Macaca fascicularis: one gene and its partner. The protein of the gene in region 1 interacts with the protein of each later gene in a pairwise test. Links are inferred from orthologs where the notes say so. Each region holds a gene or a part of one and is shown in the gene's direction. Other genes may lie near its edges.

Evidence for each region.
Region 2: the proteins of TRIM63 (region 1) and PKM interact in a two-hybrid assay, tested with the Homo sapiens proteins (3 studies listed by BioGRID and IntAct). The link is inferred for Macaca fascicularis from reciprocal best matches to the Homo sapiens genes TRIM63 and PKM.

What each region holds. Positions count from the first base shown.
Region 1 is NC_088375.1:209,083,415-209,089,791, forward strand, and holds part of TRIM63 (E3 ubiquitin-protein ligase TRIM63), read left to right. Parts: intron 1-35; coding exon 36-131; intron 132-1,774; coding exon 1,775-2,008; intron 2,009-2,733; coding exon 2,734-2,756; intron 2,757-3,057; coding exon 3,058-3,182; intron 3,183-6,377. UniProt on the Homo sapiens protein: E3 ubiquitin ligase. Mediates the ubiquitination and subsequent proteasomal degradation of CKM, GMEB1 and HIBADH.
Region 2 is NC_088381.1:49,042,343-49,048,719, reverse strand, and holds part of PKM (pyruvate kinase PKM), read left to right. Parts: intron 1-4,767; coding exon 4,768-4,899; intron 4,900-5,394; coding exon 5,395-5,581; intron 5,582-6,305; coding exon 6,306-6,377. UniProt on the Homo sapiens protein: Catalyzes the final rate-limiting step of glycolysis by mediating the transfer of a phosphoryl group from phosphoenolpyruvate (PEP) to ADP, generating ATP.

The sequences.
Region 1 (6,377 bases):
ATCTCTCCTCTCCTGACCCCCACACCCCCATCTAGATTGAACTGAATAACTGTATCTCCATGCTGGTGGCGGGGAATGACCGTGTGCAGACCATCATCACTCAGCTGGAGGACTCCTGTCGAGTGACCAAGGTGAGGGGACAGAATAGTTCTGCTTGGGGGTTTGGAGCTTTCCAGGGCAGCCTGGTCTCTGGGGAAGGCTCACCCATGGGTTGTGGCTAAAGGTTGGGGCCTGGAGCCTGGGGGTCAAGCAGGAATGGCAGGGGAGGGACTAATCCATTCACCCACTCTCTCAACAAATGCTTCTTAAGCACAGCTGTGTGTCCGGCCCCACCCGAGATGTGGGGGATGGAGGAATGAACCAGACAGACATGGTCCCTGAACTCAGGGAGTGTCCCATCAATAGTTCTCAGTGTTTATTCAGCACAAATCGTTTTCAGAGCACCGTTCTTTCCTATAGACCAACACTTCCCAAACTTTAAAGTGCATGAAAATCACCCTGGGATCATGTTGAAATTCAGGTTCTGATTCAGTCAGTTTGGAATGAGGCATAAGAGCTGCATTTCTAGCCAGTTCCCAGGATTTGCCCAAGCTGCTGGGTCCACGGACCACACTTTGAGTAGTGAGACTGTTGAGGGCAAAATGGAACTTTTCTATCCCTGAAAAAAGCTTCCATGATTTTCCATGTTCACCTGGGGTAGGGACCTGGAGATGAGATGAGGGGAAGGGGTCGTCATAATTGCTAGTGGACCAAGAGTCGGGCGAAGGGTAGGAAGGAGGGGAACATTCTGATCACCCATGAACCCATGAGAGGCTCCTGGGTCTGATGAGATGCTATTGTCACACCCATTTTACAGAAAAGAACATAGAAGGGAGCGTCAGTTGAGGAGGGTGCTAGGAAACGAGCTGTTTTTCCACCTCTCCTAGGACCAAATGATGCAAAGCTTCCTGAATCCAGTCTTGGTCTTGAAAGGGAGGGAAGAGTGTGATCTGAGACAAACGGGAGGCCCAGGAAACTGAATGGAAGCAAATACATTCATTTGCTGAAAGTCACAAAGCTAAAAGGGAAACACAGCTAAAAGGCAACGGAGAGCTGGGCGCAGTGCTCATGCCTGTAATCCCAGCACTTTGGGAGGCCAAGGTGGGGGGACCATGAGGTCAGGAGATCGAGACCATCCTGGCCAACATGGTGAAACCCCATCTCTACTAAAAAATACAAAAATTAGCCAGGCGTGGTGGCGCACCTGTAATCCCAGCTACTCAGAAGGCTGAGGCAGGAGAATCACTTGAACCTGGGAGGTGGAGGTTGCAGTGAGCCAAGATCGCACCACTGCACTCCAGCCTGGGTGACAGAGCAAGACTCCATCTCAAAAAAAAAAAAAAAGAGAAAGAGAGGGCAGATCCCACGTTGGTGACTGTTGCATTGGTCTGAGAAGTGATGCTCCAGTGACCAGCTGAGGTTGGGGGACAGGAGGAGGGTGCAGGAACAAGGAAGAATATGTAATGTCATGTGACCCTAGAGCCTCTATTTTGGAAGAAGGGGCTAGCTGTTTTTCAAGGCATCAGCCTCCAAATATCACTGGTGTACTAAGTAGCTGTGAGGCCAGATGAGTGTTTTCTTCTTGTTAAGCCTTTGTTTCATCTTCTGTAGTGTGGGGATGTATGTAGTGAGATCTCTTCTAGCTTTAGATTCCTTGCTACTGTACCAGGAAGGGAGTGTAGCGGACAGGGAGTAAGGACCCTACAGAATGTGACTGCAAGACTTCCGTCCTCAGGAGAACAGTCACCAGGTAAAGGAAGAGCTGAGCCAGAAATTTGACACGCTGTATGCCATCCTGGATGAGAAGAAAAGTGAGTTGCTGCAGCGGATCACGCAGGAGCAGGAGGAAAAGCTCAGCTTCATCGAGGCCCTCATCCAGCAGTACCAGGAACAGCTGGACAAGTCCACAAAGCTGGTGGAGACGGCCATCCAGTCCCTGGACGAGCCTGGGGGAGCCACCTTCCTCTTGGTGAGCAGGACTAGAAGGGTCTGGGTGGGGTCAGTTCAACTCGACAGCTCTAAGGTTCCAGTTATGCTTCTCCACTGACCACCCATGGACCCTTGGAAAAGTCATTTAAACCTCTGTGAGCCTCAGTTTCCTCATCTGTCAAATGGGCATGTAACACCCCCCACCTTCCTATTACTGATTTTATGATGATCAAATAAGAGGATGTTTATGAAATGACTTTGTAAGCTGCAAAATACAGTGTCCCATCTACGGACTATTAATTGAGCCCCTACTGTAGGCCAGGCACTGAGGTGGAATACAAGGAGATAAACCAGACACAGCCCTGTCCTCAAAGAGCTTGTTGGGGAGGACAGAAAAGCCTCAGTTATAAGACTTCATAGTTCAGTTCAATAAAAATGTTCTAGGCTTCTCCTGTGGGCCAGGCTTTGTGCTAGACATTAGGTATGAAAAGGTGGTTAGGATTGGGGAGTTCAGGGTTTAGGAGTTTTTGGATTGATACCCCTAGAATCCAAGCTTCCTGCCAAGACAATGGGTCCTAGGGTGATGACCAAGACCTGTACAGACCACAGACAGAGGGAAAAGTTCCAAATTCTGCTCAGTTTGGGGTGGGGAGCAGGTCACAACTGTGCTAGGGAATGGCACCAAATGTCCAGTCACTGGTTTTGCTGATTTCCTCGGGTTACCTCTTCTGCGGTCCTAATCCTTTGTTCTGTCTCCCCCTGCAGACTGCCAAGCAACTCATCAAAAGGTCAGTGTCTCCCCAGAGGCTATGATCCAGGCCCCTAGTTCCCACCAGGACCTCTGTCCAGGAAGCCTCGTCCTGGGCATTAGGTCTGCTGGGAGGGTCTAACTCTAGGCTGGCTTCCCTGACCCTTTGCATCCCTGACTTTTTGGACCACTCACTGTGCTTAAGATTGGAGAGGAAATACCCCATCCCTCCAGGGGAGCCTCTGGGTAGAAGCCCTGGGCATGTGCAAGGCATGTGCCCTCTCCTTCCTGCACTGAGCCCCAGAGATCTCATCCTGCCTCTCTTTCTGTCTCCCCCACAGCATTGTGGAAGCTTCCAAGGGCTGCCAGCTGGGGAAGACAGAGCAGGGCTTTGAGAACATGGACTTCTTTACTTTGAATTTAGAGCACATAGCAGATGCCCTGAGAGCCATCGACTTTGGAACAGGTAAAGGTGGTGGTGGTGCCACTTGTCTATTCGCCTGCCTGATCCCTGGAAACCAGCATCCCTCCCACTGAGCCCCATGGGGAGGCAGATACACTAATAAAGATGCCCAGGTATCAATCAAATTCATATAGCCACCTTCTGGCCGGCTGTGGTGGCTCATTCCTGTAATCCCAGCACTTTGGGAGGCCAAGGTGGGCGGATCACTTGAGGTCAGGAGTTTGAGACTAGCCTGACCAACACAGTGAAACCTCGTCTCTACTAAAAATACAAAAATTAGCCGGACGTGGTGGCACATGCCTGTAATTCCAGCTACTTGGGAAGCTGAGGAAGGAGAATCGGTTGAATCCAGGAAGCAGTGGTTGCAGTGAGCCAAGATCATGCCACTGCACTCCAGCCTGGGCAACAGAGCCAGCCAGACTCTGTCTCAAAAAAAAAAAAAAATCATATAGTCACTTTCTTAATGAGCCCAGAGCCTAGCACAGTGCCTGGTACAGAATTCCTGCTTCATAAATTACCAATGGATCCATGGCAGGGAAGCCTCTTGGGGCAGTAGAAATAATATGGCCTCTGGAATCAGACAGTCCTGAGTTTAAATCCTGGTCCTGCCATTTGTTTATTATCTGTGTGACCTTTGGCAAGCCCCCCTTCTGCCTGAGTTTTATTTTCTAATTTAAAAAATCAGGTTAAAAGTGAGCCCTCTAATAATGACCAACTCATGGTGCTATTGCAAAAAATCAGATATTGATGCAGAAAGGTCCTGTAGAGGCCGGGCGCGGTGGCTCAAGCCTGTAATCCCAGCACTTTGGGAGGCCGAGACGGGCGGATCACAAGGTCAGGAGATCGAGACCATCCTGGCTAACACGGTGAAACCCCGTCTCTACTAAAAAAAAAAAATACAAAAAATTAGCCGGGCGAGGTGGCGGGCGCCTGTGGTCCCAGCTACTCGGGAGGCTGAGGCGGGAGAATGGCCTGAACCCAGGAGGCGGAGCTTGCAGTGAGCTGAGATCCGGCCACTGCACTCCAGCCTGGGCGACAGAGCGAGACTCTGTCTCAAAAAAAAAAAAAAAAAAAAAAAAAGAAAGGTCCTGTAGAGTCCTAAAGATGTACTAGTTATTGCCTAAAGGTAGTCTTAGCTTCAGCTTCTTCTTCTTTTTTTTTTTTTTTTTTTTTTTTTTTTTTGACAGAGTCTTGCTCTGTCACCCAGGCTGGAGTACAGTGGCACAATCTCGGCTCACTGCAAGCTCCGCCTCCTGAGTTTACGCCATTCTCCCGCCTCAGCCTCCCAAATAGTTGAGACTACAGGCACCCGCCACCACACCCGGCTAATTTTTTTGTATTTTTAGTAGAGACAGGGTTTTACCGTAGCCAGGGTGGTCTTGATTTCCTGACCTCATGGTTCACCAGCCTCGGCCTCTGAAAGTGCTGGGATTACAGGCTTGAGCCACCGCGCCCGGCCCAGCTTCAGCTTCTTAATGCTATCACCTGTGATACTCAGGCACCTTAATTTATCAACATCGTCTTCATTTCTGTTTGTAATTACTCTTCCATAGAGTGCCTATAATAATTGTAACAATGCAATCATAACAATAATAGGGGTGAAAATAATAAGGGAAATGAAGAAACTGAATGGAAGCAAAAATGTTAATTTGCTGAAGGTCGCACAGCTAAAAGAGAAACAGCTAAAACACAACAGAGAAACAGAGGGCAGATCCTACACTGCCGACTGTTGCCTTGGTCTGAGAGATGGTGCTCCAATGACCAGCTGAGGTTGGGGAACAGGGGAAGGGTGAAGGAACAAGGAAGAACTATAAATGGACTGGCATGGGAAAGAGAAGAGCTTCTTGGCACCTCCTGTGTCGCTCTCTTGCAAACCTTCAGTATCTGGTGCTAAGTCTGTTTTCAGAGCTCCAGATATACCCCATAGGTGAGGACAAAATACATCCCAAAGCAGAGATACCAGTGGACTTGGGGACATCCACTGCTGTAGATGAGCTGCTTGCTCCACTGTCAGCTTCCCTAAGCTAAGACATTCAAGAGTGGGTCCACCGGGCACAGTGGCTCACACCTGTAATCCCAGTACTTTGGAGCCCGAGGCAGGTGGATCACCTGAGGTTGGGAGTTCCAGACCAGCCTGACCAACACGGAGAAACCTCGTCTCTGCTAAAAGTACAAAATTATCTGGGCGTGGTGGCGCATACCTGTAATACCAGCTACTCGGGAGGCTGAGGCAGGAGAATCGCTTGAATCCGGGAGTCAGGTTGTGGTGAGCCAAGATCACACCATTGCACTCCAGCCTGGGCAGCACGAGTGAAACTCTGTCTCCATCTCCCTGAGCCTCAGTTTCTCCATAAGTAAAATGAAGAGAGTACCAACAGTCACCAGTTACTGAATATTCTGTATGTCCTAGGCACTAAGCTCTTAACATAAGTTTTATCATTTAACACAACTTTATGGGATAGATTCTGTTACTGTTTCTATTTTGTAGTTGAGGTAACTTAAAGCTCAGAGAGGGTAAGCCACTTGTTCAAGGCCACACAGCTAGCAAGTAGCCCATGCAGATTCTACTGAGGGCCATTTGGCTTGAGAAACTCTTGTGAAGATTTTATAAGATGGTGCAGATTCAACACTTAGCACATAGTAAGTACTCAGCAACTGCTATTAATATTCTGATCCCAGTTGCTTGGCTGGAATTTTGGTTGTCATTTTGGAGATTTTTTCTTTTTTTTTTTTTGAGATGGAGTCTCGCTCTGTCGCCCAGGCTGGAGTGCAGTGGTATGATCTCGGCTCACTGCAAGCTCCGCCTCCCGGGTTCACGCCATTCTCCTGCCTCAACCTCCCTAGTAGCTGGGACTACAGGCGCCCGCCACCACGCCTGGCTGATTTTCTATATTTTTAGTAGAGACGGAGTTTCTCCATGTTAGCCAGGATGGTCTTGATCTCCTGACCTCGTGATCCGCCCGCCTCGGCCTCCCAAAGTGCTGGGATTACAGGCGTGAGCTACTGTGCCTGGCCCCCCTTTTTTTTTTTTTTTTTTTGAGAGGGAGTTTTGCTCTTGTAGCCCAGGCTGGAGTGCAATGGCATGATCTTGGCTCACTGCAACCTCCGCCTGCTGGGTTCAAGCGATTCTCCTGCCTCAGTCTCCCAAGTAGCTAGGATTACAGGTGCACACCATCACGCCCGGCTAACTTTTCGTAT
Region 2 (6,377 bases), on another chromosome or scaffold:
CTCTCTTTGACAGCTTTGGCAGCTAGTCTTCAGCCCTCACTTTTGGCAGTTCACATGGGCAAGGTGCATTCTTGCTGAACATGTGGTTCCATATGCCGTGTTTTCCAGATTTATTTATTTATTTAGAGAGAGAGTCTTGCTGTGTCACCCAGGCTGGAGTGCAATGGCACGATCTTGGCTCATCTTGGCTCACTGCAACCTCCACCTCCTGGGTTCAAGAGATTCTTCTGTCTCAGCCTCCTAAGTAGCTGAGATTACAGGCATCTGCTACCATGCCCGGCTAATTTTTGTATTTTAGTAGAGATGGGGTTTCACCTTTTTGGCCAGGCTGATCTCGAATTCCTGACCTCAAGTGATATGTCTGCCTTGGCCTTCCAAAGTGCTGGGATTACAGGTGTGAGCCACTGTGCCTGGCCTAGAAAAAATGACTTTCAAACAACCTAAATGTAGAGCCTTCCACAGGACAGCATTGATGGATGAAACTCTTTACCATGTAACATCCCAACAAAGCCACAGCTATAGTAGAAGACTCAGTACACCTCCCAGAAATGCTCTAAGAGATTATAATATATAACATAGATTTGAATAATACACCTAATAATTGGTATGTTTATAATACATAGTTTTACATCCCCAAGACCAAAAATGCATGTTTGTGTGAAACACTCATGGTTACAAATACATATTAGGCCACCAAAAAAAACCCCAAGTTTCATAAAGTAGAAATTATACAGACACATTCTCTGCTAAACATTTTTTAATGGAAATTAAGAACAAAGTCAAGAAAACTGAAGTGTGCTTACTTTAGAAAGCAAAGATCTCAAGGTAGATGGAATAAATATTTAACTCAGAACACTAGGGGAGGAAAACCCTAAAAAGGGTGAAGAAAAATAATTTTGTAAGATTATAGCTCAATGAAATGAAAATAAATTTGACAAATTAAGCTAAGAGCTGATTATTTGTGGGTAAAAAATAGTAAAATAGAAAGTTCTGGGAAGCCAGGTGAAGAATGCAAGGATGTACAAATAAGAGTATGAATAGAAAAGGGAATATTTCCTACACATTGGAGATTTTAAAAGTCAAGAAAGACTTATAACTTAATTCCTATAGAGAGAGATGACACTGGCTATTTTCCAAGAAAAGATTAAATGCCAAAAAGATAGAAAATATGAATAGACCAGTGGCCATAAGAAGTTGAAAAAGTGGGCTGGGCTCAACCTGCAATCCCAGCACTTTGGGAAGCCAAGGAAGAGGGATCACTTGAGGTCAGGAGTTCGAGACCAGCCTGGCCAACATGGTGAAACCCTGTCTCTACTAAAAATACAAAACTGGCGGGGCATGGTGGCACATGCCTGCAGTCCCAGCTACTCAGGAGCCTGAGGCAGGAGAATTGCTAGAACCTGGGGAGGTGGAGGCTGCAGTGAACTGAGATTGCACCACTGCACTCCAGCCAAAAAGTTGAAAAAGTGGCTAAGATCTGGTTCATCTCAGAACATTTAAGTCCAAACGATTTTAGTGGCTGAATTGTCTCCCCTTCAAAATTCAGTTACATTGTTAAACTGTTCCAGAGCCTAGAGAAATACAGAAATCTTCCCACTGTGTTCTTTGAAACCAACATACTCTGATACTGAGATCAGACAAGGACAGTACCAAAACCAGGCAGGTACTAACAGCGTGCTAGACCAGTCTCACTTAGATGCAGAAAACAAATAAAATTTAATAATCCAAATCCAGTAGTGATTGAAAGGAATGTCTTGATCCATGACCAAGTAGATTTTATTCTAGGAGCACAAAATTCTACATTAAGATTAAGTAGAGTTAAGGTTGACTTTTTTTTTTTTTTTTTTTTTTTGAGACGGAGTCTTACTCTGTCACCCAGGCTGGAGTGCAGTGGCCGGATCTCAGCTCACTGCAAGCTCCGCCTCCCGGGTTTACGCCATTCTCCTGCCTCAGCCTCCCGAGTAGCTGGGACTACAGGCGCCCGCCACCTCGCCCGGCTATTTTTTTTGTATTTTTTAGTAGAGACGGGGTTTCACCGTGTTAGCCGGGATCGTCTCTCAATCTCCTGACCTCGTGATCCGCCCGTCTCGGCCTCCCAAAGTGCTGGGATTACAGGCTTGAGCCACCGCGCCCGGCCGACTTTTTTTTTTTTTTAAGACGGAGTCTCACTCTGTCAACCAGGCTGGAATGCAGTGGCACGATCTCGGCTCACTGCAAGCTGTGCCTCCCGGGTTCACACCATTCTCTGCCTCAGGCTCCCGAGTAGCTGGGACTACAGGCGCCTGCCACCAACGCCTAGCTAATTTTGTTTTTGTATTTTTAGTAGAGATTGGGTTTCACCGTGTTAGCCAGGATGGTCTCGATCTTCTGACCTTGTGATCCCCCCTACCTCGGCCTCCCAAAGTGCTGGGATTACAGGCGTGAGCCACTGCGCCCGGCCTGAGTTAAGGATGACTTTTAAACAACCTAAATGTAGCTAAATATAGAGCCTTCTGCAGGACAGCATTGATGGGTGGAACTCTTTACCACATGATAACATCCCAACAAAGCCACAGTTATGGTGGAACTCAGTCCACCTGAGTCTTACCATTATAAGATGATAATAATAGGTAACATTTGTTAAATAATTACCATGTACTTTGTCCTAATACTTAATGTATTCTTTTACTGCTCACATCAACTCTGAAGGAAAGGTACCACATCCCCTTAAAAGAAAACAACTATTTCTATTCTATTCTTTTATTTTTTTTAGAGACAGAATCTCACTCTGTCGCCCAGGCTGGAGTGCAGTGGCACGATCTCGGCTCACCGCAACTTCTGCCTCCTAGGTTCAAGTGGTTCTCTTGCCTCAGCCTCCCGAGTAGCTGGGTCTACAGGTGCGCGCCACCATTCCCAGCTAATTTTTGTATTTTAAGTCAAGATGGGGTTTCACCATATTGGCCTGGATGGTCTTGATCTCTTGATGTCATGATCCACCCGCCTTGGCCTCCCGAAGTGTTGGGATTACAGGCGTGAGCCACCGCACCCAGCCTCTATTCAATTCTATTTTGTTCTATTTCTATTACAAGCCAGTAAGCAAGAAAATATAATAATTTATAAGGAACCCTATAAAAAACGAACAAGCCAACGGTCCCTCATTAGGGAGTATGCCTGAATAAGAAGCTGAAGATTTTCAGATACAGGCTTCAGGCAACATTGTCTTTAGAGGCTAAGCTCTGGCTCCAGCTCCCTCCAGCATCCTGTGAATAACAGGCAGGCTTACTTGCAGGTGCCGCTTTCCTGGACAGTGGTGGTTAAAGGACAAGGCCCAGAAAGTGCTGAATTAGGTGCCCTTGTTATCAGCAATGTCATATTGATCACGCTGTCTTAGAGCTCTTTCGACATCTTGGCTCTGCAGCTTTTTTTTTTTTTTTTTTTTTTTTAAATCTTTTTTCTTGAGATAGGGTGTTGCTTTGGATAGTAGGGTATCCAGGCCAGAGTGCAGTGGTATGATCATGGCTCACTGTAGCCTTGACCTCCTAGACATAAGTGATCCTCCCACCTCAGCCTCACAAGTAGCTGGGACCCCATGCACCCACCATCATGCACAGTTAATTTTTGTGTTTTTTGTAGAGATGGGGTTTCGCCGTGTTGCCCAGGCTCATCTCAAACTCCTGGGCCCAAGCTGTCCTCCCACCTTAGCCTCCCAAAGTGTTTGGTTTACAGGCATGAGCCACTGTGCTTAGCCTGAGTCCCTCTTTTAAACAAACAAAATGGTAAATGGAAAGGAGGAAAGGCTTAAGAAAAAAGATTGAAGCACAGATTTGTTGCAAGCAAGGAATAATAAAGGGCAGTTCATTTAGAGAAAGGCATATGACCACCTTTCCCCGTCTCCAGTCAGAATCTAGAAAGTGATTGAGGCTGGGCGCAGTGGCTCACCCCTGTAATCCCAGCACTTTTGGGAGGCCAAGGTGGGCGGATCACAAGGTCAGGAGATCGAGACCATCCTGGATAACATGGTGAAACCCAGTCCCTACTAAAAATCCAAAAAATTAGCCAGGCCTGCTGGTGGGCGCCTGCAGTCCCAGACTGAGGCAGGAGAATGGTGTGAACCTGGGAGGCGGAGCTTGCAGTGAGCTGAGATTGTGCCATTGCACTCCAGCCTGGACGGCACAGTGAGACTGTATTCCCCCAAAAAAAAAGTGATTGAGAAAATCAGGTCTGTGTGACCTTAGCAATGAGTTGTTTAGCTTGGGCCACTGTTAGCTTAAGTCAATAACTTCAAGTTTGCGTTGTAGTTGGAATCAATAGAGGAAAAGCTCTCAGCATTACCACATATATCAGAATGTGACATTGATTGCCAGATCAGCCTTATCCAAACACAAGTTCTAGGCTTTTTGCCCTGTTTATCAGCTTTATTTGCTGAGGGTATTTGATGAGTCTTAGGGAAAAAAGAACAGCCCTGGGAACACAGCTGCTTTTATGATGAGACATGTTTGCACCCATACCTTAATGGGTTTTGGTGGCAATATTCTGAAATTTGCCACCAGCGTTTCAAAGATTTGCCCTTAGGGTGAATTACTGCTGTAGTAGAAGTGGGTGGAGGCTGAGGAGATTGGATTAAGCAGGTAGAGGAGTTCTCAGTGCATGGATCGTTCTGAGGATGGAGATAGAGCTCTAAGACATCCACAGGCCTTTCCTGAGTGATCAGCTTTGGCTCCTGGGCAGGGAAATTGAGCTGGATCCTAGTGTGGGAGCACGCTTGTCATCTTCCTTCTTTTTCCCCAGTACCACGCGGAGACCATCAAGAATGTGCGCACAGCCACGGAAAGCTTTGCTTCTGACCCCATCCTCTACCGGCCCGTTGCTGTGGCTCTGGACACTAAAGGACCTGAGATCCGAACTGGGCTCATCAAGGGCGTGAGTATTCTGTGGAGAGCGAGGGAAAGACTCAGTAGGCAATATGCCCCAGAGACATGTCCTCCAAAGCGTTGAGATGCCGTGTTTCATCCCAGCACTATGAAGGACTGTAGAGGAGTTGAGGTCTACAAATGAGGATTTATTCATCACTGTAAACAATGTTGATTTGATTTACTTTGCTAGGAAATGGTACCACAGAGGAACCCTTTTTTTACCCTAAAAACCTAAACTTTAGGCTTTCTAACTTGGGGAACCATCTCTTTGTATCTTTTTCCCCATCATTAAGTAGCATAACTGAAACATTATATTCTATTTTCTTAGATTATTTCTGTGAAGTGTACTGAGTTAGAGAATAAGAGCAAAAAACTGTATTATTTTTAGCGGTGACTTGAGCATTGTTCCCTGGAGGAAAGAGCTTTTCCATTGCTTCTGCGGTGATGCTGCTACTGGTGTCTCCAGTTTGGACTCTGGCTTACTCTCTTGCTTACTCCCTAGAGCGGCACTGCAGAGGTGGAGCTGAAGAAGGGAGCCACTCTCAAAATCACGCTGGATAACGCCTACATGGAAAAGTGTGACGAGAACATCCTATGGCTGGACTACAAGAACATCTGCAAGGTGGTGGAAGTGGGCAGCAAGATCTACGTGGATGATGGGCTTATTTCTCTCCAGGTGAAGCAGAAAGGTACGTATGGGAGCTGGAATCCAATTGTCTAAAACCCATCTTTTGTCTCTAAAGTTCCTTGACACAAGGAAGATGGGAAGGTTGGTTGCCTGGCAGTGACATTGAGTCTGTGTGTTCTCAGGAATCCCTTTTATAACTCATTTATCCTCAAAGACAGGCTTTAATCCAGCATAGTTACATTCTTCTGGTTCCGGAGAACATAGGAACATATATATATACACACATATATTTCTTTTTTGAGACAGAGTCTCGCTCTGTTGCCCAGGCTGGAGTGCAGTGGCACAATCTTGGCTCACTGCAACCTCTGCCCCCAGGGTTCTAGCGATTCTCCTACCTCAGCCTCCCGAGTAGCTGGGTTTACAGGCACCCGCCACCACGCCTGGCTAGTTTTTTTGTATTTTTAGTAGAGACGGGGTTTCACCATGTTGGCCAGGCTGGTCTCAAACTCCTGACCTCAAGTGATCTGCCTGCCTTGGCCTCCCAAAGTCAAAACAATCTTAATTCTCCTTTTTTATGGGTGTGGAAAGTGAGGTACAGAGAGGTTAAATGGCTTGCCTAGGATTACACAGTTAGTTGTAGTAGGGTTTCAACTCTGGTAAAACAGCTCCAGCACCCATAATGCACCACTTCCCAGCTCACTGTGCTTGGGGGAAAGGTGCCTGCTTCCTGTTGAGCTGTGCCCTCGGTACTCTGCCTCCCCTGCTTACCCCTTTTCAAAACACAGGTGCTGACTTCCTGGTGACGGAGGTGGAAAATGGTGGCTCCTTGGGCAGCAAGAAGGGTGTGAACCTTCCTG